5 linked regions of the Rattus norvegicus genome follow. The protein of the gene in region 1 purifies or fractionates together with the protein of each later gene. This does not show direct contact. Links are inferred from orthologs where the notes say so. Each region holds a gene or a part of one and is shown in the gene's direction. Other genes may lie near its edges.

Region 1 (5,073 bases):
CAGAGATCTACCAGCCTCTGCCTGCTGAGTGCTAGGGTTAAAGTGCCTCCCAAGTGCTAAGATTAAAGGTGTGGCCCACCACATCTAGCCACTTTTTTTTTTTTTTTTTGGTTCTTTTTTTTTCGGAGCTGGGGACCGAACCCAGGGCCTTGCGCTTCCTAGGTAAGCGCTCTACCACTGAGCTAAATCCCCAGCCCCATCTAGCCACTTTCTACCTAGTTTTTACCCCCCCCCCCTTGTTTTTACATGTATGAGGGTTTTGCCTGAATGTATGTAAGGGCAATGTGTGTATGCAGTGCCCGTGGAGGATAGAATAGAGCATTGGCTCCTCTGTGATTACTCCAGGGGAACTAAAGTCAGAGGAGATGACGAACAGACATAGTTCCTGTTGGGTCTCATGGTTGCCTCCCACTGTCCTCCTCGGGTCAAGTGTGTCACTGCTCTTAGCCACATCCAGCTTTGCTTCCCGACTGCTGGTCTGACTGCCATGTGGAGGCTGATGCTATGCCCAGCGTGAGGTAGTGCCCTATTCTAACAGGGCCTGAATCAGCTTCCACAACTGTGGAGAGTCTGACTCTACCACCAGATTCGTAAGGGTCCTACTTCCCTGTCAAATTTTAATAGATAACCAGACAACTTATATATATTTTTGCCTTGCTTTGTCACTTGTTATTTCTTGAAGATTTCAGTTTGCATATGAATATACAGACTTCCTTTGTTGTCTTAGTTTCAAAGTATTCAATTGAATGGCCAAATAATAGTTAATCCATGATTGAAATTGAGCAAACTTCTCACTATGAGTGTTTATTTAAACTCTATTATAGCAAATGGTGAGGATCTTGGCAGAAAGGTCTTGTCTTCCCCTATTCCTTAGGACCTACAAACCTTTCCTACTCCTTAAACCCACAAGCTAGAGCATGCACCAGAGAAGACTATTCAGACATGGGTGTAAGCTAATAAAGGCGACTGGCTACTGCACTGGGTGTTCAATACTCCAATATAAGTTGAGCCTTTCTCAGGGTGAGCTTTTAAGCATAAAAAACAAAACCCATGTTCTGGGTTAACATACTTCAGTTAACAAGAACTGTTAGCTATAAGCGGAACTATTGAAGTTAAAAAGCAAGGTTAGTACATTTTGAGACTTTCCCAGAACTATAATGGACTTTGATGGATTAGGCCTTTGTTTTAGTTTTGGTGGGTGTGATATCTTTCATGCCTATAAAATCAGTCTGGCATATCGTCAGTTCAGCAACTCCTTAGCTCTTTTTCCATTTTCCTGGATCATCTACCCTGCACAGGTATTCAGTAGTTTCTAGTTCCTCTCTGGGTTCCATTTCTGAGAACACTGTAACTGATCACTTCCAACCACATTAGAGATAGCACCCAGTGGACTTAGAAGACCCTGGACCACACCCTGCCTGACATATGGGTGATTGATTAGCGTGTTCCAAAGGGGGACACTCTCAGAAAGGCTAAGTGACTCTCCCTCAGGGTTGGGGCGTGGGGAGGGAATATTGCATTATCAGTTCTTGGCCCAATATGGTGCGCTCCAGCTTCTGCACGGCCTTCAAAGATGGCAGCCCCCATATAGAAACCGCCATATTTACCCCACCAGGCGCCAGGCTAGGACCTGACGCGACCGGAACGTGACGCAAGGTGGAGGCGGGGCTCCTCCCTCCAACCCTGGCGTCGGGCGTCTCGTGACAGGCACTTCCGCTCGGGGCGGCGGCAGTGGCGGAAGTGGGAGCAAGGCCGGAGCTTTGACCATAAAGCCCAAGGCGGCGGCGTTGGCGACGGTGTTTGGGGCTGGGCAGCTCCGAGGAGCCTGCTGGAGCCGGAGTCGAACCTCTCTGTCGCGGCCTGCGTTGTGTCTCCTCCTCTGTTGACCCTGCGGTGAGCGGCGGGCCCGGGCCGCCCTTCCCCCGCCGTGGCTTGGGCCTCCGGGCCTGGCGTCCTCGGCGAACGCCGAGCTGGGCCGGGCCAGGCGGGGCGGCGCCCGGCGGGCGGAGGTCGGAGGGCGCAGGGTGATCGGCGGGCGGCGAGTACGGGGATCCTTGGGCTGGGCGCGTCCCCGCCGGCTACCTGATGGGTGGGAAGAGGTACCGGCCGGCCACCGAGGCAGCGCTGCCAAGCGCGTCACATGCCCCGGCCGGCCGCCGGCACTGGGAGACAGGAGCTTTTCAGGGTCCTGCAGGGTAAATTCTATTTCCGAAGTTTCAGGAGGAAGGATCTCTCGAGTGCCTTTCAAATAGCCTGGTGTCCTCCTAGCTCATAATCGTGCGGATGTTGAGAGTAACATTGTGAACATTTGAGATTTCTGGTTTGCTGGGCTGCGTGGCAAGACCGCACAGGTTGCCCTGTTCTCCAAACAGCCCTCCGAAGCACGGAGGCAGTGTCCACTTACAGAGAAGAACAGAGAGGTTAAGTCACTCGACCAAGGTCACACCGCCGATAAGTTTCAGAGGGAGAGATTGAAGCATAGGCAGTCAGACTACTTAGCACTTTACTGGCCTCTGGCCTCTTCTCCTCTTGATGCTCCCGAAGCTTGCCACCTGTTATCTGTCCATCAGCACCCCCTCCACCTCCTGTCTAATGATGTTATTTGAGAGCTTCTTGGTCCTACCTTAAAGCCATGTTGTATTTGCAGTTGTGACTTACAAGGCATAATACGGTAGTGACGGTAGTGTACTGTCACCGAACCAGAAGATCTTGAATTCTGGCAAGGTATGTATTGGATTTGAATAGGTTTCCTATGCAGCTCTCTTTGAGTCAGGTCTGGCTTGTCTATCGTGTGTACCTTTCTACAAGAATTTCCTACAACAGCCTAGCTTGTTGACTCTTCACTGTTGAAAATATTGCGTCTTTGGCTTTCCAAAGAATAAACTCTTGTCTCTTTCTTGTTACTTCAGCAGCTGATACGCATGATTAGGTTAATAAAATCTCCTGTTGGTATGTTTCTCTTCTATCTTGGAAATATTGATTCAGAATTGAGTGTACGAGCTGGAAAGTGAATTATTACTACTTCTAAAGCTGGCCAAACTAAAGTTTGGTGTCCTCGGTTGTCTGTAGTTTACTTTGCTGTCCGGCTGGGCTGTAAACCTTTGTGATGTGTGAGTTGAGAAGAGACTGGCATCTCATTTAGGAAATGTTTTTCTTCCATATGTGTGTCAGGCATGACTGGGTTCTGACTCAGGGCTACAGGCATGGATGGGTCTTCCTCAAGGAATTGTAAAAGAATGAGCCTCAGAATAATGACTCGGCCATAGGAGAATCTGGGGCTTCTGCAAAAAGTAGTTTTTGTTTTATTTTATTTTTTTATTCCCTCAGGTGAATCAGATATTCAAATGTGTATTGTTCTGGCTAATAACTTGAAATATTTCCCAACTTTTTGTGTGTGCCTGAGGTTGGTATTGGGTGTTTTACTTAATTACTCCCCTTTTTAATTTTTTTGAAGACAGGATCTTTTCCCTGACCCTGGAGCTTATCCCCTGCTAGCAGGTTAGCCATCAAGCTCACATACACACACACACACACACACACACACACACACACACACACACACCACTCCCCTACCCTTCTCTCTTTTTTTTTTTTTTTTTTTTTTTTTTTTTTTTTTTTTTTTTTTTGATTTAAATGTGGGTCCTGGGGATCTGAACTCAGGTCCTTATACTTGTCCAACAACTGAACTATCCTCAGTCCCCATCTTTGTCAGAATTGGGAACCATGTATTCCTAACCATGTATTTGTATAGTTTGCTCTTGAGAGGGGATCATATTCTGGTGCATGACTGATCACCTCCTTTGAAGAGTAACCATCAACACTAAATTTGATTCCCTTTTTGTTGTAAATGATATTTTCGTCCTCCCTTGAGGGGAAATAGACGCCACTTAGTACAGTGCACTGTAATGTGTGAGCAAAGGCTGGGTTTTCCTTTTTAGCTGACAACAAAGCTTAATGTAGCTGCTGCCAGACTTAGTGAAGCATTCTGGAGAAGACTGGTGTCCTCTGCTTTCCATGGCCCTCGGGTTCCCTCTGCTCAAGGGCCCAGGCTTTATCCACATGAGGATCTGACGGGCGCTCTAAAGGTAGCTTTATTAGTGTGATCTTGCAGGTGATTGCTGGCAAGCACACGGTGACTTTTCTGGTTGTCTTTTTTGGTGTCAGTTGTATCTCATTCAGAGGTCCTGACCCTGTCAGAGTGGCCCTTGTAGGAAAAGAGTTGTGAATCAGTTTCTGGCTCCACCACCAAGTGAGGCAAGAAAGATTGGGCATTGGATGCGCTGTCTTCAAAGAGATCCGCACTGATAGTAATGGTACTGCACATTTGTCAGTAACTTTCCTATGAAAATACGGTGTGCACCCAGTCTCTAAGGTCCAGTTGTCACCTCCTGCCTCTATCCTCCCTGGGGTCTGGCATCAGTCTTTAATGTTTTTCAATGATAAGTCATCTAAGCTCCGTCCAAGTTGGCAAATGTGGCTAAGCTAGATGAGTTCTCCTGGGCAAGTAACTAGGAGATGGCCTCCTACCCTGGGCCAATAGCAGCTCCTCTTTAAAGGGTTCCGAGACCCTTATGTTTTGGGTCCTTCTTTCTGCAACACTGAGCCTTGCTCTTCTTGTTGCTAGCAAGACTCTCACCTGTGCTGAGCTGTGGTCTGGGTGCTGCACTCCCGCAGTTGCTGCAAACATTTTGCAGTGTTTTCTTGCTTGTTATTTATCTTCCTATTGTTCACCTTTTAGAGAACATTAAATACTGGAGATCATTTGCATTTTTGTTTTAAAGTTTAAATAAAAAACAAAACCCAAAGCTTGGCTTTAAGTGGTGGTCATGAGCAGTGATTGTGGCCCGAAGGTGAGCGTGACATGATGGGCTAGATCGGTGGAGCCGTCTTGAATATCCTGACCACTTTCTGTTTTAGTAATGCAGTGCGATTCCAACACCAAATTTAGAACAGCTACTTGCAAAATGTCCCCTTAAGGAAAGAGGAAAGCTTGGGAATTGACTCCAGTGGTGATGTGGCATGCAGTGTTCGCCTATTCATCTGCTTAGGATGCAGTCATAAATGCACAGGGTG
Region 2 (5,080 bases), on another chromosome or scaffold:
TCTGGAAGGAAAGAGATTCCTAAAAGTCAGGAAGCTACCTTGCAGGCTCCCAGGTTCAGTCCCCAGTACCAGAAAGTAAAAAACAAAACAAAACAACAACAAAACACACAAAAACCCAAAAAAGCAGGAAGCTCTCGATGATATATATATATATGGCTTCGGAAGTTCAGCTATCAGACTCACGAGGCCCCTCTAAATAGTCAACAGCTAATGGAGAGGGGACTCTTGAACTTGTGCCCAGGTCCAGGGATACACACAGGTTTTGTGCGTTGGGAGCCGTTAGGGTGATCTTTTCAGCTACTTTGATTCACCTTGTAAATAACTTCAACACAATGGTTTGCCAAAGTAGACTTTGGGTAGAATTCTTTAGTCTGTCATCTGTGCTCTCTCTACAGCAAATAGCTGTCTATGTCTCCCCAGGGAACGTGACACAAGCCACTCACTGAGTCTTAGGTAAGAGCCTTACCACTCCGGTACATCTCCAGACCGTTTCATTCTAAACCAACACTGACACTCCCAGGGTGAGGTTCCGAGAAGCCAGATTTTCTGCTCACCCACGGACACACAGTCAAAAATGGCCCACAAGCTCTCTCGGTGATTGTAAACCCTACCCAGGGCAGCTGGGGAGGCCAGAGAAGGCTACTAGAACTCTTCAGGTACCTTAAAGGTACTTGGAGGATCTTGAACATTGGCTGTCTGCCTCACAGCTGGGCATCAGGGCTCAGGGCCAAGTGTAAGATTCTTGGAGACAAATCTTCCTCGTGTCCCCAGGTCTTGTCCTTCCAACTCTGCCTCCCTGTTGTGACTCAGCAGCTTTTGGTGCCTGGTTTTTAACTCTGGGAGTGGATTGGGTGTTTGTTACAGGGTAGGTGTGCAGACTTGAAAAGCTACGTAAAAACTGTGGTTCTTTGTAATGCAAAGCAAGCTCTAGGCCACCGAGCTTTGTGTCTGCCCACATCCTAGCCCGAAGGGCTTACCCTCATAGTCTAGATCTGGGCTTACGCCCGTTCCCCCAGCCCCCATCAGTTTCCTTCGTTCAGCCCACGGAACAGCATTTTAAATCTGGAGTGGCCGCCAGTGTCCCAGCTGTCTTATTCAGCACAGCAGGTTGTGAGCAACCACCTGACGTCTCCTCTTCTGGACCCCAAATGCCTTGATTCTCTTAGGACGTCTGTCAATTGAAGGCAAAGGGTGTGAAGTCTTCACTCACATGCGATTTCACAAATTCTCCAAGCCTGATTTGGGTTTGGCTTGGTGTGGCACACTGGGAGCCTCAGCAGGGAAGGAGGCCATGCGCTGATGAGACCAGGCTGGGAGAAAGTGACCGTCCGCTCTACACTGCAGGAGAGCAGACATCCAGAACCCGCGTGACCTCCTCATGTAGTGAGACTCCGCAGTCTCACGAAACTCACTTTGTCTTTTCTAATTTCTCAAATGCTTGGGAAATGGCGGAAAGCTGCTTCGACACCAGGGAAAATTGCACGCAAATGTGCAGTGCGGAGCCGGCCCTCGGGAGAGTTTAATTTGCAATTCACTCGCTGACGCACGCGGGCGTGTCGCAGGCTCCGGAAACCCAGTGTAGCGAGGTTGGAGCGCAGAGGACAGTAGCCGCTTTGCCCAATGCAGCGCCACCTTCGGAGCCCAGTGTGTCCCCACTGGGCCTCGGAGTGACTCGCGGCCTCGAGGCTGCGCAGGAGCCACAAGACTCCGGGCGACCCTATTCGCTGAGGTCCTTAGGCCACTGCTCACTGTGCCGGAAACTCCCCTCCCCCTCTTCTCAAATGCTTCCAGCAGCCTGGTGGCTCCAACAGTGACCCGCGTGTCCCCGCGCACGCACACACCTCACGCACGTCAGACCCACGCCTCCCTATCGCCCCGTGCCAAAGTGCACGCAGGCTTTTACGCGCGGTCGCACATGATCACAGAGCCGCAGATGGTGCGAACGCTGCTCCCGGGTGGGAAGAAGACCCCGGGACTGGTCTGGGCGCTGTCCGGGGTGGAGCCGAGGGCGGAGCTTGGAGTCCGGGCGCGCAGAGCTGGGGCGTGTCCGCGCCGTCGCGATCTGCGCCGCCCCGCCCTCGGCCCGTTCCCTGCGCTCCCAGCCTCCTCGCCGCAACCCCCGCCGTAGCTGCCGCTGCTCTCGCCGTCACCGCCTCCGAGGTAGGCGCAGCGGAGAGGGCCCGGGCTATGCCTGGGTCCCCAGGGCCTCGGGCCGCGCTCCTGGGGAGTCTCTAGGGAGGCGATCGAGGGAGGATCGGGCGAGGGCGCCGGGCCTAGGAGCTTAGCCCCGGGAAGGGTGAACCAGGGACGATCATCGCGGGCCTGGAGAGGCAGCGGGCTTGTAGAGGAGGCCTGGAGGGCAGGCGTAGAGCGGATCTCCGGAGGGAGAGATCCTAGCTCGATCTTTCAGAGCGCCTGCATTTGGAAGCGAGGGGCTATCCGAACATGCGAGGGGCGGAAGGGCAAGGGCGGCCGCGTGGAGGCCGGGCGGGCCGCGGGTCTAGGTGACCTTTCCCGGCGGCGCCCTCTGGCTCTAGATCCGGTCGGCATGGATCTGGTAGAGACCCTCCCACGGCCCAAGCCCTTCCCCGCCAGCTCCGAGGGCCTGTGCAGACCCAGCTTCCTTCGCCGAGAGGACGCGCTCCAGGCATGGCCATGCCCTGGATCCCCTGGCCCCTACATGCCTTAACCGGCCCACGCCCGGAGTAGGTGGCGCCGGGTCCCTCCCGTGCATGCTAGTGCCTTCCCGGGCGGAACGGGCTGCCCTGAGTGGACTTAGGCCGCAGGAACAGGGACCTGGGCCTGGACTGAAAGCGAGACCCCATAGGGAGCCATATGCCTGGCCTCCTTGGCCTTAGGGACGGATTCCGTGTTCTGTGTCGCCAAATGCAACTGTGCATTCTGGAAACTGTTTTCAGGGCCTGACATCAGATTGGAGGCCTGCAATTCTACATGGTTTGTCCAAGGTCACACTGGTAGGAAGATCTCAAACTTCAATCTTCTCATCTGCGAAATAGGAGCAATTATATACACTTCACTGAGTTTGGGGGAAGAATAAAATGATCCGATTAATACGAAGCCTTGGGTCATGCACAAGGACACCTTAGAAACCTTGACACTTACCCTAGGAGTCGTAGGAGCTTTGGGGAGGGTTGAACTCAACCTCTGCAGACCTTCCCCCCCCCCCTTTTTTTTGGTTCCACACGGTGTACTGGAAGGGATTCCCTAAATCTACAGTCGTGTTATTTTAACGCCATTGTTACCGTGTCTGTAACAAGCATTTGGGCAGCACCAGGTACTGAATAACTGGAGAATAATTCACCAAACACTGTCTGTTTTCAGACTGACAGCCGTTAAGCTGGAACACTAAATCTGACTGCAGACCCAGAAGATCCAAGGCTCCTCTTTCCTTGACCAGACAGATGAGTGAGGGGCTTTACTCAGTCTTGTTTAATAGTAAGCCAGGCATAGCTACTGAAGGCCTGCCTGTTTTTCTCCAGACTGACAAAACTCTAGGGCCAACTCAGGCTTACCTTTAGGGTCTTGGGTGGGACCACTTGGCACACATTAGGTGGCTAAGAAAGGTCTGTGGGGTAAATTCACTTAAAAAAATGTCTACTTAATGTGTGTGGGTTTTTTTTGCCTTTGTGAGTTTATATATATATATGCAGGTGAACTCAGCCCAGAAGAGGGTGTTGGCTCCTCTGAACTGGAGTTATAGGCAGTTGTGAGCTGTCGCACGTGGGTCTGGGAATTAACTACCAGGTATGGTGGGTGCACATTAAATCGTGGGATCTTAAACACCCATTTGATGACGTAGACCGCTCACTGACTTCTGGAAGCTCTCCTGGCCTAGCAGAGTCAGATATTATAAGAGCTACGACAGTACACGCTCATCTACAGCAGGAATCACGAGGGACGAGAAGCAGCTCCTTTGACATTCTACAACATCCCGAGTCCTCAGGGAACTTGTCAGACTGGTGTTTCTGGGCTTGAAGCTAGAGTGATATGGGTGAATGGGATTCGAGCCAAGGCCTTGGGCCTGTTGTGCTCTCCCCTTTCTGACAAGGTTGTGTGGGTATGACAGCTAGAGTAAGGTGCCTGGCCCCAGTGGTAGTCGAGGGTGCTCACAGGTGATTTGTTTTAGTTCTGATTTCCAGAATGAGGCTTTTTAGACAGGGGTTGTTTGGGACCATGTGGTCCTCATGCTGAAGCTGAGGCAGGTGGAGACTCTGGACTCTTGAGCTGGTGGTAGTAAGGGCTTGCCCCCCCACCCTCCCACCCCCTCATCACTTTGCTCTCTGAGGACCTTTGCTGTTGCTGGAAATCCCCACAGTATGACAGACACCTTCAGTGGTAGTGACTGAGGGAAACATGTGGCCAAAGTGAGGAGGGTAGCCCCTAGGATTCCAGAAAGGTTGTTGTACTGTGTGTGGGGCTTTGTGCTTTCCCCAGGTTCCTGTGGTAGATGGATGGTCTCCATCCCACTGTTAAGTCACAGCATGTGAGCACTTTACTTAGAGCTGAGCTAGAAAAAGTTCCAGAAGGGCAGCCTGGGCTCTCAGTGCTGATCTGACTGACAAGAGCCACAGAGGCTAGCTCAGATGAAGTAGCTTTCTTGTGTCTTAGTTTCTCTGTTATACCGTGGTGGGGTTTTGTTTTAAAGAATTAAATGTTTGGAGGTGGATAGCTCATGTGGAGGTCAGAGGGCAACTTCTGGGCCTCCACCCAGGCCTTGGGATCACCTGGGTCTGCTGTAGAAAGGTGACTGTCATCGCTGGCCATCCTGGTGTTCTGTAGCCCTGCTGGGTGTACTTGGCGCTTAGGCACAAGTTCTCTGCTAGTATCCCCCACACTTCACTGCTGCTGCTTTGAGGAACCCATAGGTGTGAGTGCCCCTGTAAAGCAGAAGTTACTGACTGGTTGGGAATGGAGAGAGGTACACTGCTGCAGGCCGTCTGTAGGGGCAGTGCTTGCAGGAATCGTTTTCCCTGGGGCGAGATGGGAGGTGTTCTTCCAGGACCTGGCCAGATAGTATCTAACTAAACAATACCTCTTTATGGGTGGGGAGGACTCTGGA
Region 3 (4,763 bases), on another chromosome or scaffold:
TGGAGCCTTCATCCCCACGCTCTACCACCTTTGGCACAAGGAGGTACTTTTCACGCTACCAAATGTGAAGTGCAAACGCCAAGCCAAGTCACAGCCCCTTCACAACAGGGGTACTGCCTGCAAGATATGTTAGGACAGTGGCAGCAACAAAACTTGTGGGAGTGACCAACCAGTACCTGATTTGACTTAAGGCCCACTTCACAAGATGGAACCCATATCCGACATGATTGGGGTGATCAAGAACCAGAGACTAGATAGCCCAGGGACCTAGGGTAAAAGCAAGTAGTACTGGTGTCTTGGTTAGGGTGAAAAGACACCATGACCAAGGTAACTCTTATAAAGGACAACATCTAATCGGTGCTGTTTTACAGTTTTTGAGGTCCCGTCCATTATCACAGTGACAGGAAGCGTGGCAGCATGCAGATAGGCTTGGTGCTGGAGAAGGAGCGTATTCTTAGAGCCTTGATTAGAAGGCAACCAAGAGAGACTGCCTCTTCCACACCGGCCAGAGTTTATTATATTCAAATATATATTACCTCAAGGCCCTACCTCCACAGTGACACACTTCCTCTAATAAGGCCACATCTCCTCCAATAAGGCCATGCCTCCTGATAGTGCCACTTCCCACGGGCCAAGTATATTCAAACCACAACTGGTAAAAAAGAAAGAAAAAGAAAAAAGAAAAAAAGAGACAATGATAAAATGGCTTCTAATGACACTCTGCTATACTCATAGATAAGTTCAGCCATCATCAAAGAAGCTTCTTTCTGCAGCAGATAGGAACAAATACAGAGACCCACAGCCAGATATTCTGCTGAGAGTGAGAGACCTTGGAATACCCAGCCTTTTATGGGTTCTTTAAATCCCTCCCCACAGGCCTCAGGGAACCCCAAGAGTGTAGGAGCCATAGGGAATGGAAGACATCAAGAAAATAAGGCCCTCTAAATCGATATGAGCAAAGCTCATATAAACGCACAGACAGAAGCAAGATATTTACTACGCACCCTTTCACAGTCCCAATCTCTATGGCCCACATTTAGGCCCTAAATTCCCTTTTGGGCAAAGTCCACAGGGTGCAGTATGCACACTGCCTGCCCTGCCCTTTATTAGTCACATTTGACAGTTTTCTTCCGTGTCTATTCCGAGAGACAGTTGTCATTTTCTGTAAAAGAACACAGCAATTAAATAGTGGGAAGATAAAAAGCAGGCCCTCTGGGCTTCACGCCTCAAAGGGCTGACCGCAAGCAAATTAAACTAACCGGTCCAAGAGAGCCCGCAGGGCGATCACGTGGTATAAGACAAGTCAAACAACTGTTTCCTGGCTCCGGAAAACCAGTCCTAGGGGTTCCCGCTTGGACCCAGAACCCAGCATCCACTTGCTCCCTCCAGTACTAATGCCCTTAGGGAAGCACACAGGTTAATGGCGCCACAGGTCGTATCTTCGGTTTAAGGGGGCAAAAAAACCACAGCTCCAAAGTTGCACAGACCGGGTTAAGGGGCAGAGCTGCGGGAGACAGGCGGTCCCGACTCTCCAGTGGCCCAGCTACTCTGCGCTACCCAGAATCCTGGCATCGCGAGCCGCAGAATCGCTTACTTGAGCCAAGAACCCCTGCAATGCCCCCGCAGGAGATGAGCTGCCGGCCCCGCCCCTCGGCTCCTCTAGGCCTCGTGATTGGTTCCGCGGGCTGGGGCGGGGCCGTAGCGGCGAGCCGACGTGATGGCGTCAGACGCCGCGCGCCGCTTCCTGTTGTCAGTGCCTCTGGAGCCGCGGCTTTTTCTCCGAACTGAGGCGTTTCGCTTTGCCTGGAGCTCCGCCACCTGCTCCTGCTCCCTTTGGTGAGTCTAGGGTCTGGACGTGGAGGGGAGCGCGGGGCAGCGACGCGATCCGGCGGTGGGCCTGCAGCCTCGCAGCCGCTCGCGACCCCTGGGCGCCTTGAGACTTGTGGTGGGAACCTCGGCCCTTAGCTACTGGGGCCTGTTCCACCTCAGCCAGCGGCCACCGGGTCTCTCCCCTCCGTCTCCACCACAGTCAACCGCAGCCCTAAGCCGGGTCCCCCTAACCAACGGTCTTGCAAAAGTGTAGTGTCACTCGTGACCCCTCTTTAGCCCAGTTGCAACCGGATTGGAGCGAGCCACATCCCTCCACCACCTCTTATCTCAACATAATGTTTAGCCTTCAACTCTTCTGAACTTTCCCTTGACCCTCCATTCTGGCTCTGATTTCGTATCACAGCTTGTCATATCCGGCTCACTCATCCCAAATACCCTAGGTCTGTCTCCCTCCTATTGACCCACTACTAAAGTTGTCGCCTGTTTAACTTGCCGGTTTCTTCTTGATAACTGACATCACAGCTTTATCTCAAGTCTTGTGTGTATCTTTTCTTTACCGACTTGACTTTTACCTCATTTCCTAGCTGATCACAGAGGTAAGTTCTCTCTGGCACTTACCTACTTAAGACCTTTCTATAAACTCTCCCTGACTCTGCTGCCTCAGTTCCTACCATTTCCCCCAGTCCTTTTGTCATTTTAAATTTAATATACATTAATTCTTTGAGAATTTTATACATGCATGTAATGTATTTTGATAATATCCCTACCCCCATTCATCTCATTGTTTTGCTGTTGGCTTTTTTGTTTGTTTGTTTTTTGTTTTTGTTTTGAGACAGCATGTTTCTAGCCTTATCTCTCTATGAAATCACTCTGTAGATCAGGCTGGCCTCAGAGATCCCCTTGTGTTTTAATCTGTTTTTATTCTTTTGGTTTGGAGGGCAGAAGGTGGGCGTGGAGGGTGGTTTTGTTTTTTGTTTTTGTTATTGTTTGTTTTGAGACAGCCAATTCAAGTAGCCAAAGCTAGCCATGGACTCCTGATCCTCCCTGCCTCCACCTCCCAAGTGCTGGAACTGTAGGCATGAGTCACCATGTGTGGCTTCCCAGAGTTACTATTAACTAGATCTACTCAACTCCCTTCAGTTCCTTCCTCCATCCAGCTCTCTTTCACTTTGAGAACTTAGGGCCCAGCTCCCTACTGGTCATGCTTGCTGTGTTCCTCAACAGCCATGTCTGCTCCTTGCACAGAGCCCAGCAGACTAAACGGCCGAATTGGTGTGTGTAGGGACTCAAACGGTACCTGAGTATAGAGCTTACTCCAGAGCTTTTTGGGGGAGCTCTTCCTGGTGTCTGATCTCCTGAATGTGTTTCCACTGATGGCTTTTCTGGGATTCCTATTAAATCATTTGTGCCTGCTGTTGTAATCCTAGGTGTCATTCAAATACCTGGAAGGTATGAGGTGACCACTCATCCATCTCATTCATCCTGGGGTAATGGAAACCAGCCCTTCCTTTTGGCTGACTGGTGTTTTGTCAGTAGAGAGCCTCAAGGAGCACGGTGGAGTTGGTTGTGATCACAGAGTCCTTCCCGTGTGTCCTAGCACCTGTGAGGAAGAATCCTCCCGGTGTTCCTTTCTGCATAGCTGACTGCAGATCTTTCCCATTATTGAACCCAGAGACATAATGGCCATCAGAAGCATGTTCTAAGTCATGAAGAGTCCTGGAGAGGTTGAAGGATTAGGTACAGGGGCTGTAAAATTGCCCTATTTTGTAGGCCCAAGATCATTTAGTCTTAGCCACTGGGGTTTGTAGGAACATGTAAAGGTGAATTCAGTAGTTGAGGCATATGGGTCTTTAAGGTCCTTGATGCAGCTTTTTTTTTTTTTTTTTTTTTTTTTTTTAAATACATTTCCTCCAAGTTCTAAGTGGCTCGATTAGGAGAGTCAACCGTCTTTGGTGGCAGCCTCTTGCCTCTTCCCATACCCACTCCCAGTGATGGAGATTCAGTCCAGGACCTTGTATAGGTTAGGCAAGTATTCAACCACTGAGCTACACTTGAAGCCCTATCAGCAATTATAAAGGGGCCTGAGACACCATCACTGCCACAGTAGTCTCCTTCTGTGAAGGCTGAGTGCAGTTCTGCCTTTAATCGCCTCTCCTAACAATGCAACCTTCAGAGTGGCAAAAGTTTCTTAGTAGTGTAAAGTGCTGTGCCTCAGCTTCCCACAGTCTGTCGAGTAGATGTACCTGTTCTATATGCCTCGCCTTTATCTATTAAATTATTCAGGAGTTGGGCTTGTTATCTATTTTTTTTCTTTTTGATATTTTGCGTACTAGTCCTAGAAACAGAGTGGTGAATGAGTTCTTCAAAGTTCTTGTTTTCATTCATTCAGAGTATACACGTCTTTAGACTCCTATAGCAAAGCCAGATACAATGCTACCCACATGTAACCACAGGTGCCCAGGAGACTGAAGATGAGAGTTCAAAGCTTTCCCAAGGAGTTTAAGGCCTTCCTGGGCTACATTCTAAGTCCAAGGTCAGTTTATGCTACATAGCAAGATCTTGCTCAAAAAGAAAGAGTTCAGGGGGTTGGGGATTTAGCTCAGTGGTAGAGCGCTTGCCTAGGAAGCGCAAGGCCCTGGGTTCGGTCCCCAGCTCCGAAAAAAAGAACCCAAAAAAAAAAAAAAAAAGAAAGAGTTCAGGACCAGAGATAGACCTCAGTGGGAGCGCACTGCCGAAGGGGAATCTGAAAGCCAGGCATAGTTGGCCAGGCTTTGTAATCTCTTTGTTGAGGAAGGAGAAACTTGAAAGATTGCTGGAAGTCAAGGCCAGCCTGGGCTACACAGCAAAGGTCTTGTCCTTAAAAAACAAAACAAAACCAAAACAGGGTAGAAGGAAGAATCCTATTCTGTGTGAAACAGGACTGTGGGAGAGAT
Region 4 (5,057 bases), about 21 Mb from region 1:
CTGTCTGTCTCTGTCTCTCTGTCTGTCTCTGTCTCTCTGTCTCATCTCCCTCTGTCTATTTTTTTCTGTGTCTGTCTCTGTCTTACACACACACACACACACACACACACACACACACACACACACACACACGTCAGTCCACAGGGGCTACAGAGTTACCTCAGTAGTTGAGCACTTGTTGCTCTTCCATGGAGGCTAACAACTGTCTGTCTGTAACTCCAGTTCCAGAGGATACAATGTGTTCTCGTTTTCTCAGGTAAGGCAGGGATGTGGTGCAAAGAGACACCTGCAGGAAAAATCACACATACAATAAAAACAATTAAATCTTCAGGTTACCTCCTGGCTTCCCATCTTCTATCATCAAATCCAAACTAGGGCCCCGTGTCCCACTCCCCCTGTCCCTGAATTTTCTTTCTACCTCTCCCCACTCCAGGTTTCACTGATCTACGCCAGTGTTTTGTATTGTTCCAAGAATAAACTTTTGGCTGCATTTTTGGCTTTAAATGAATGTACTTATTAAGTACACAGCAAATAAAAGTAAAAGAATAAATAGCAAGTAGCGATAGGTAGCCAGGCTCTACCAAATAGCAAGCTCACAACATCCAGCAGAGGCGACTAGAGTAGTTGGTTGAGAGAGCTAAACAAGAAAGCATCAAGTTAGAGGTTTACAAATACGAAGCAGATATCAACTGGGGAAGTTGGGGCAGTCAGCCGGAGTGTCTTTTTAAAAAAATATTTTCAATTAAAATATAATTCCATCATTTCCCCCTTGCCTCCGGCACACCGTCTTTCAACCTCCAAACCACTTCACTGTCCTTCCCCATTCAGGGTCTTTTCCTGGAATGTGCTTCTACCAAAGGTCAGCCTGCTTCTCCTTCTCACTTCCCTCAAGCCTTTCCACTCAGGACCACCTGACTTAAAGACAAGAGAATCTGTTCCAGCTTCTTCTTTGTTCCTCTTCAGTTTTCTTTACAACGTGAAGTACCATGAAGCATTTTCTCCTCTGTTTGCTGTATGTTCTCCACACTGGACTGTAAGCCAGAGGAGGGCAGGGATTTTGCTGTTACTATTGTTTTGCTGTGCTAGAAACGAACCCCATGTCTTTTACGTGCTGGGAAAGAATTTTTTCCCATGAATTAATTTATTCACTTTGCCTCCTGATCACTCCCTGCCCCCCACCCCCTCCAACCTCCCCAGAACCCAGTGCTTCAATACATGCCAGGCAAGCATTCTACCACTGGGCTACATCCCAACCCAAATTCTGATTTTTTTTTATTCCGTGTTCAACTACTCAGAGTATTAACATTTTCTTTCAGGGTACATTGTCAACAAACAATTATAGAAAAATTCAGTCAATAAGTGAATGAGGACCAACTCTTTTAAAAAGTTAATTAATTTAATGTGAGTATACTGTTGCTGTCTTCAGACACACCAGAAGAGGGCATCAGATGCCATTACAGATGGTTGTGAGTCACCAAGTGGTTGCTGGGAATTGAACTGCAGTCTGTGCTCTTAACCATAGAGCCATCTCTCAAGCCCCAACTCTTTTTTTTTTTTTAAGATTATTATGATTTATGTGTTTTGTTGTGGGAGTATGTGCACGTGCTTGCAGAGTGTACGACGGAGGTCAGAAAGCCCTGGATCTGCCCCCCCCCCCCCCCCCCCCCCCTCAGAGCTCAAGTTGTTGAGGGCTGCCAGACTGTGTGTGCTGGGTCCTGAACTCTCCGGTCCACCGAAAGAGCAGCAAGCCCTTTAACCTCCGAGTCATTTCTGTAACACTACCGTTTTTGCTTTTTGAACTTCTGATCCTCCTGCCTACACCTCTCTAGTACTGAAATCCTTGGCCTGCGACTGTGAGGAGCCCAATAAGTTGGGAAAAAAAAAATGGTGAATGAACCCACCATGAAAGAGAAAAAACATGTGACAAAGTGAATTGACACCAAGGCGATGACACTGTGCCTTGGGACGCACCACCAGGTGGCGATGTCGCCGGCGGGCGCTCGGAGTCTATGGGACCTCGCCGTTCTTGCCGTGTGCTTCCGCGGCTGCGCAGGGCTGGGCGTGGGGGGGGTAGGGCGAATCATATGACCCGCTGGGCTTCCTGGCTCCGGCCGTCGCAGCCTCCTATCTGTGTCTACCCGAGTCGCGCCGGGGGGCCCGCTGAAGAGCCGTTGGCGGGTTCCGGGCCGATACCCGCTCGTGGGAAGCAGTGTCTGTCGTCGTCCGCGCCCGTCCCCGCTCGCTGCCGGCCGCCGCCATGCTGGCGCTCATCTCCCGCCTGCTGGACTGGTTCCGCTCGCTCTTCTGGAAGGAGGAGATGGAACTGACGCTGGTGGGGCTGCAGTACTCTGGCAAGACCACTTTCGTCAATGTCATCGCGGTGAGCAGCCCTATGAGGTCGGCCTGGCGGGCGTCCGGGGCCTGTCACCTCCCTGAGGGCCGGGCCGTGCGATCCTTTGGGTGTGGGCCTGGGAGGTTTTAGCCGGAGGGTCAGCGCCGGAGGGTCAATTCCACATTGCGTTTTGGTGGGGGGCTGTGTCTTTAAGGCGGCCTGGAAAGAGTTAATCCGAGTCTGTCACAGTTGCCGCCTTTCGGGCTGTGGAGGCTGAAGGGTTAATTCCAACCTGTCACTTGCTCATCCGGACGGGTGAGCTCGGCCTTTTCCAGAACGCCTGCGGCCGGGAAGCCTCTCTGAAATCTCCACTTGGGACGAAGGAGCCGCATTGTGAAAGCAGGCAACCGGTGTGGGCGCATCTGTGAATGCCAGGGGGAGCCTTGGCGCCTCCAGTTCGCTTGGTCTTTGTCACTGGTCCACGGAGAGTCAGAGATCAAACTGATGGAAACTGTTGGCGTGACCATCCAGATCCCAGTATTTATTAAGGCAGGGAGTAAGGGCGAGGCGAGTCTCTGTTTCTCCAGAGTGATTGTGTTAAACGGGCGGATAGATGGATCTGCGTTCAACATAAAGTTAACTATCCTGCAGGGTTTGGTCTTTAGAGAGATTTTTTTTTCCTCCTAGAGAAGGAATTTGTTTGGATTGGGGCGTAGCTTATGCAGGCTCGGGGAAATTGCTTGGAGATTAAATACACTTAAATATAATGTGGTGGTTAATTCAGTGGGAGAGTGGTTGTTTGAGTTTGCGTCGGGGGAAGGAATGGGAGTGAATGTCAGTCTTTGGAGCTGAGGAGTCGTTGCACAGTCTTAGGGCTGTACTTAGAGGGTTGCACTTTACAGTTGTTCCGATGAGAAGTGGCCGCAGTTCTCAGACCTTCAAGAGGCTTGTTGGAATCCTCACACAAGAGACAGCTGAGCTGCCAGACTGGTTTGGCTGCACACTGCCATGGGAGAAACTAGGTAACTTGTGACTCAGTCCCTGCAGTAATAGAGCAACAGGCGTGAAAGACAGGAGCAGAGACTCAAAATTTCTTTTCGAAGATGGCTGAATATAACTATGAGGGAAATGCCTATGCTTCGTGTTGGGCTCTTTCTATATTGCCCCCACCCACACCCCAAGAGAATAAGGCAGAACAAACTTCAGGCTTTCTTTCATACCAGGACTTTTATATAGACTTCGAGCTGTTCGTTTTATATAACCAAGATAAGAATTGGCAATTCCTTGGCAGTCCTGTCTCCTCGACAAGATTGAATTGGTAATCGTGGGTGTGTTGGTATGGTCACTTGTATTTGCTGTGGAGGAGGAGTTAATGCAAGAACCTGCATCAATGAGTAGAATTCAAGAGACATACTGCTTACTTTTGTGCATATATTATCACTAGACAGTGTAGCTTGATACAACAAACCCGAACTTTTATGCCAAGCAGTCCTGGATTTGAAATCTGGATCTGCCACTTAGCAGCCTTGGGTCTGGTTGAGTCGATTGTGGTTTTCTGATCTATGAAGTGCAGATAACAATAGATTTCTTAAGAGAGTTGCTCTAAGGGCTTACCAGGAGGAGTAGGGAAGTGATAACATGTAGATATCTCTAGTGGCTGTACTACCCAAAGCAGGTACATGGAAAATACATTGAGAAAGGACGGAGCAGGCCTCGTTTCCTTTGACTCTCAGGCCAGTGTGGTCGGCAGTTGCAGATTTATGGCTCTTGGGAAGGAAGCTTCTTAAGCCCCCCTCCCTTCTGAATTAGATTCATTTTAACAACTATCAAATGTCAGCAGTGCTGTTGAAGTTAGTGACCCTCTGTTATCCGTCAATATTAGACTATATGATGGAGATAGTCTCTGTTAAGAAAAGATCCCACAAAAAAGAGAGGCTATGTTTAACTCATTTTAATCATTCCAAATTCTCTATATCATAAAATGTTACATTATCCCCCACATACACACATACATAATTATGGTCTGTCAATTAAAAATGTTAACACCCAAGACATGGTTGGTGATGCTTACCTGTAATTCCAGCATTTAAGAGGCTGAGGCAGAATGATAGTTGGAAGTCTGATCCACATCTGAACCCCGCCCAACACACATACTAAGAAGAAAAAATAATTTAGGGAAGAAGAAAAAAGGCTAGACTGTAAGTTGGCAGTGGGGTTTAAAATGCTGAGGAAGGGGCTGACTCCTTAGATACTACTAGCTTAACTTGTCTCTCATCCAGTCTTTGTTCTTTTGAGAGAGTTTCACTCTGCAGCCCTCTGTCCTTGAACTCATCAGGTAATCTGGGTTGGCAAACACTTGGAAAGCCACCCGCCCAACTCTCCCAGGTGGAGGGATTATAAACATTTTATCTAAAGTCCCTGCATCTACCTAAAAAGTGGAGGACTTTACAAAGATTGGGAAGCTTACTTTCTTTTATGTGGGGCTTGGTCCAAAAGTTGTTCTGTTCAAGAACAAAGATTCTCAGTTTCTCTGATGCTTTTAAACCTGAGATGGCACCTTGTTTATTGAGAGACATGAGGTGCAGAGTATTGTCATTTGTTCTGGATGGTATTGAAACACCTCTAGACTTTAATTTTCTGATATGATAGAAATGAAATATGTCTAGTTACTGTGTTAATGTTGGTGCAGTTGTGTAATCAGTCATGTGTCCTATATGTGTAATGT
Region 5 (4,789 bases), on another chromosome or scaffold:
TCCCAAGTCACAGGACCTAGTATCTATTCTTTCCACTGTGAGTACGTCAGCAGTCTGAGCAAGAAAGGCAGTCTCCTTGTGACCAACGTGCCCTCCCTCTGGCAGATGACTCTTCATAACTTCCAGGTATTGAAAGGGTGATGGGCCCCCAAGCTGGTGGCAATAAGGGGCGGGAAAAAGGGCCCAGAGAATCTCTGCATGGTTTGAGCATGTAGCCGAGAGAGTTCCATCCTTGTATAGTCTCTGAAGGTATAACTATTCATTAATTCCAGAATCCCAGCACTGAACTGTTTGTAGAACCTTGTGGTCCCATCTGATCCATGTCTATGTATCTCCTAGATCCAAGCCTTCAATGTGACTGGTGAACAGTTCTCCTATGCTAGCGACTGTGCTGGCTTCTTCTCTCCGGGCATCTGGATGGGGCTGCTCACCACCCTCTTCATGCTTTTCATATTCACCTATGGTCTGCACATGATACTCAGCCTAAAGACCATGGATCGCTTTGATGACCACAAGGGCCCCACCATCACTTTGACCCAGATTGTGTGACATATACCAGAGAGGGATTGAGGGAGTATTGGTGTCTAGGTTTCCATTTTGTGACACAGTGGATGGAAAGGTTTGTCCTCTTCCTACTATAGCATGAACCCTACATACACCACCCTCAGCCTGTCTTGCTTCCTCTTTCCTGGACAGGGACTTCCCTGAGGCTATCCCCCACTTCTACCAACAAAGTGTATTATTCTTCATAGATAAATCTTCCAGGCTTCATCAAGAGGGGAAGGGACCTTAATTCTAGGGTGCCCCCCTTTCCCTTTCTCCTTATTTATTCTTGCCCCTCTGCTATTATTTCGTGCTGTTTATAGTGCTTTTGTGTAGTAAATACTCACTCCCCAAGCTTTATGGAGCTTTCCAGCAATAGCCATGAACTTGAGGTCCCTTGAATTTGAGAGGTGTGGAAAGGCTAGTTAACTGTCCAGCTTAGCCTTTATGGGTTTTTTTTTTTTTTTGGCGGGTGGGGGTTAAGAATGAGCGGTACACTGGGGTTTATTTCTGTGACCTGAGAAGGAAGAAATCACCACGAGAACTGGAGAACAAAGTGTACTCATTGGGTTTCTGGTTTGTTCTCACAAGGATTGCCTGTCAAGAAGCCAGAAGTATGTGTGTGTGTGTGTGGGGGGGGTGTGCTCTGTTGTTTCATTCCTAATAAAATAAAGACGTGTTGCCATGTGTTGGGCTCCAGCCACTTATTTCTACACTGGACAAGTAGATTTGTTCTTGACTGAAGGGAAGAACTGCTCAGATGTAGTCCTGTCAGGCAAGAAATGAGAGAGGAAGGGTGGGAGGGTCTTCAGTAAGCCGATACTCTTAACAAGCCGGAGAAGAGGCTTGTTACTTTTCCTCGCCATGGGAGGAATCCTGACAATGGCAGCTCTCCCAGCGCTAGGGCCAGCTGCAACAACACACTGCAGGGCTTCCATGCCTTTCTGTTTCTCCCAGGGGCGGTACGGGAGCGCGCGGGGCGGGGCGGGGCGCGCGCAGCTCCCGCGCAAGGATCCTTCGCTAGACGTAGCACCTGCCGCCGGCCTGCCCCGCCCCGTATTTCTCTGGGCTCACGGAGAGCCGCGTTAACCCCTGCAATCATTCTGGTGCTGGGACCCAGGTGCCAGAACCCCTCCTAGAAAACAAGCGAGGAAATGGTGGCTTTGGTTGGGCGTGGCTTGGCCAGAGGAGGGAGAGGGACTCATTGACGCTGCGTAGGGATCGGGAGACGACCGATAGACGCCATCTTTGGGTCAGTGCGGCGGCAGCGGCAGCGGCAGCAGCAGCAGCAGCAGCAGCAACAGCAACAGTAGAGGCATTGGTAGCAGCTGCTGTGGTGAAGGAGGAGGAGGAGAAGAAGAGCGGGCGCTGGTACCAAGGCCTGACCATGGATGAGGAATACGATGTGATTGTGCTGGGGACAGGTCTTACCGTAAGTGCCACCTCAGGCGCTCGTAGCCCTGCATCATGCCATCCCCCACCCCGCAGTGATGCAGAGTCCGGGTTACCCGACCCATCCTCCCATCATTGCGTTCCTGCCTCCAGCCCTGGAAAAGCCCATGCCCACCCCACTACCTCATCCTAGAGTGTTGATGCCAGTTCGCAATTCTTCGTAGAGGGCCCCACTTTGGCCAGTATTCCAGCACCCTAGATCTTAACCACGGACCCCTCACCTTCCCTATCTGTGTCACTGAGGTGGAAAACTCACCCCCCTCACACACACTGGACCCGTTGCATCCAACCCCACCCTTCGCCTGCACTCATCACCTGCTCAAGTAATTGATTAGCATCTTTTACCATCTTGTGATCACACTAGGGCATGGAGTATGAAGATAAAGATATGGGGGCTTTTCAAGGGTGGGCCCTCATCCTGCCTCTCTGCCTTTTGGGAGGGATAGGGAACCCATGGAATGTTCCAGAAACAGCGGGAGGGAGGGAGGGAGGGAGTGTGTGTGTGTGTGTGTGTGTGTGTGTGTGTGTGTGTGTGGTGTGTAGGGAGGGGGTGTTAGTGACCGCTTTCCCTCTACCCCAATTCGGTTTCCCATGGAGACCTCAGAGTGAATATATATCCTCAGCCTTTGTCCTTGGGTTAGTGACAGTGACTGGTGAGAGTGTCCGGTGTCCCCGTCGCCCCCCCCCCCCCCCGCACAAATCTTTTTTCGTTTGAACCCTGAGCCTAGAGCAGTGGATGCACAGCCAGAAGAGAGTCAGGGGCTCCTGCCCTTAAAAGGAGGAGCAGGGTGGAGCCTGGGATTTCAAGGACTTGGCCTTATCTTTCAAAGAGCCTTTGAATTGTTTCTTCTGTAGACTCATTGTCTTGTCTTTTTGTGAGCTCAGAGCAGGTAGATACTTTTGGCTTGTTGATGCTAGAAGAACTGTAAGCTCTGTCCCCCAAGCCTCCTTTAATGCTCTAGTAGTTTACTCAGCAGGGTTATAAAGGAAACATCATATGAAGCTATCTTCCCCTCCCCAGTTTTAGGCACTGGAAAGAGGTAGGACTTTGCATTATGAATTTTGTAGTGGGCATGAGGCAGGGACAAATCAGAGATGCTCATTGGAGGGTAGATGAGGTATAGCTGCCAATGCCACTCTTTCCCCAGGAATGCATCCTGTCTGGCATCATGTCTGTGAATGGAAAGAAGGTGTTGCACATGGACCGAAACCCCTACTATGGGGGTGAGAGCTCTTCTATCACACCCCTTGAGGAGGTAAGATTTCTTATTCTCAGACTTGGGCTTAGACCCAGACCCCTTGTTAGTCCCCCACATAGGTGTAAAGGGGGGAAGTAGTTCTCAGGTCCCAGGCAGGAGAGTGGGGAAGGGAAGCTAGTCCTTGACATTTGTCTTTCTTTCCTGTCCTGCTTACAGCTATATAAGCGCTTTCAGTTGCTGGAAGGGCCCCCTGAATCAATGGGCCGGGGCCGAGACTGGAATGTTGACTTGATCCCCAAATTCCTCATGGCCAATGGTGAGGGAGATTAAAAAGGGCGATGGGGGTGGTGAGTAGGAAGATGGGGTATGGGGTGTTCAATCTCCAGAATATGATCAGTCACACTACTGAGAGTTTTTTGAAGGAAAACACACCCTTACTCCCTTTGGACACAGGTCAGCTGGTAAAGATGCTACTGTATACAGAAGTGACTCGTTATCTGGACTTCAAGGTGGTAGAGGGCAGCTTTGTATACAAAGGGGGCAAGATCTACAAAGTGCCATCTACTGAGACTGAGGCCTTGGCTTCTAGTGAGTATGAGTCTCCTTAAGCAGAAGAATGGGGCTGGAGGGGACAAACTGTTTTCAGGACAGTTGGGCAAAAGGCTCCTCTTTGCATAAACCTAATCTTAGCTCCGTGTAGTCCTAGAGGCCCCTTGCTTTATAGTTTCTTTATTGGACAGTGCTACCAATCTTGGCAAGTTGCCAGAAAGGAAGTTCACAGAAGAGGATTCTTTTTTGTCAAAGGGCCTACTTGCCCTAAGTGGAGCTGGGAGGGTCTCTTCCTACAAATAGGAAAATTGAGACCAAGAAAGGTGGAGCAGTGTTGCATAAGAGAGTTCTGGTGGGAGCCAAGGCACCAATTTTCCTGGCCTGCTCTGTTAGAAAGAGGAGCTCTATGTCCGAGTAATGCAAATGATCTTTTCAATACCTTTCTTTCAGATCTGATGGGCATGTTTGAAAAACGACGCTTCCGAAAATTTTTGGTGTTTGTGGCAAACTTTGATGAGAATGACCCCAAAACCTTTGAGGGTGTTGACCCGCAGACCACCAGCATGCGTGATGTCTACCGGAAGTTTGACCTGGGCCAAGATGTCATTGATTTCACTGGCCATGCCCTGGCGCTCTACCGCACTGATGAGTGAGGGGAAAGCTGGCTGGTGATGGGAGCCCCTTGTCTGGCTCACACCCTCTCCACACCTGCCTATTGTACCTACTGCCCATCCTGCATGTCACTTGTACTCAGCTCCAGGCTCACCTGTTCCATTTCCATCCCTCTCCATTTGACCCACATCTTTGCCAGGTCACAAAGGGTGGTGGGAAGGCTGGCTGGTGTCTTTGTAAATGAACAAGGGTGCTGCTATCAAAGCATATTCCCTGGTTCTTTTTCCGTAGTTACCTGGATCAGCCATGTCTTGAGACTATTAACCGCATCAAGTTGTACAGTGAGTCCCTGGCCCGGTATGGCAAGAGCCCATATTTGTACCCACTCTATGGCCTGGGTGAGCTGCCTCAGGGCTTTGCCAGGTGAGGATCTG

Evidence for each region.
Region 2: the proteins of Rab7a (region 1) and Vdac1 purify together in Homo sapiens (affinity purification with mass spectrometry; 3 studies listed by BioGRID and IntAct, with this or other methods). This does not show direct contact. The link is inferred for Rattus norvegicus from reciprocal best matches to the Homo sapiens genes RAB7A and VDAC1.
Region 3: the proteins of Rab7a (region 1) and Plekhm1 purify together in Homo sapiens (affinity purification with western blotting; 5 studies listed by BioGRID and IntAct, with this or other methods). This does not show direct contact. The link is inferred for Rattus norvegicus from reciprocal best matches to the Homo sapiens genes RAB7A and PLEKHM1.
Region 4: the proteins of Rab7a (region 1) and Arl8b purify together in Homo sapiens (affinity purification with mass spectrometry; 4 studies listed by BioGRID and IntAct, with this or other methods). This does not show direct contact. The link is inferred for Rattus norvegicus from reciprocal best matches to the Homo sapiens genes RAB7A and ARL8B.
Region 5: the proteins of Rab7a (region 1) and Gdi1 purify together in Homo sapiens (affinity purification with mass spectrometry; 4 studies listed by BioGRID and IntAct, counting the BioPlex papers as one, with this or other methods). This does not show direct contact. The link is inferred for Rattus norvegicus from reciprocal best matches to the Homo sapiens genes RAB7A and GDI1.

The regions. Positions count from the first base shown.
Region 1 is NC_086022.1:122,060,846-122,065,918, reverse strand, and holds the start of Rab7a (ras-related protein Rab-7a), read left to right. Parts: upstream 1-1,733; 5' UTR 1,734-1,893; intron 1,894-5,073.
Region 2 is NC_086028.1:37,031,112-37,036,191, forward strand, and holds the start of Vdac1 (voltage-dependent anion-selective channel protein 1), read left to right. Parts: upstream 1-2,097; 5' UTR 2,098-2,160; intron 2,161-5,080. UniProt on the Homo sapiens protein: Non-selective voltage-gated ion channel that mediates the transport of anions and cations through the mitochondrion outer membrane and plasma membrane.
Region 3 is NC_086028.1:88,859,476-88,864,238, reverse strand, and holds the start of Plekhm1 (pleckstrin homology domain-containing family M member 1), read left to right. Parts: upstream 1-1,780; 5' UTR 1,781-1,836; intron 1,837-4,763. UniProt on the Homo sapiens protein: Acts as a multivalent adapter protein that regulates Rab7-dependent and HOPS complex-dependent fusion events in the endolysosomal system and couples autophagic and the endocytic trafficking pathways.
Region 4 is NC_086022.1:143,302,557-143,307,613, forward strand, and holds the start of Arl8b (ADP-ribosylation factor-like protein 8B), read left to right. Parts: upstream 1-2,074; 5' UTR 2,075-2,257; coding exon 2,258-2,380; intron 2,381-5,057. UniProt on the Homo sapiens protein: Small GTPase which cycles between active GTP-bound and inactive GDP-bound states.
Region 5 is NC_086039.1:157,237,094-157,241,882, forward strand, and holds the start of Gdi1 (rab GDP dissociation inhibitor alpha), read left to right. Parts: upstream 1-1,806; 5' UTR 1,807-1,930; coding exon 1,931-1,975; intron 1,976-3,143; coding exon 3,144-3,251; intron 3,252-3,410; coding exon 3,411-3,510; intron 3,511-3,647; coding exon 3,648-3,782; intron 3,783-4,193; coding exon 4,194-4,392; intron 4,393-4,646; coding exon 4,647-4,778; intron 4,779-4,789. Other genes in the region: Atp6ap1 (V-type proton ATPase subunit S1 precursor), read left to right, coding at 1-126, 340-549. UniProt on the Homo sapiens protein: Regulates the GDP/GTP exchange reaction of most Rab proteins by inhibiting the dissociation of GDP from them, and the subsequent binding of GTP to them. Promotes the dissociation of GDP-bound Rab proteins from the membrane and inhibits their activation.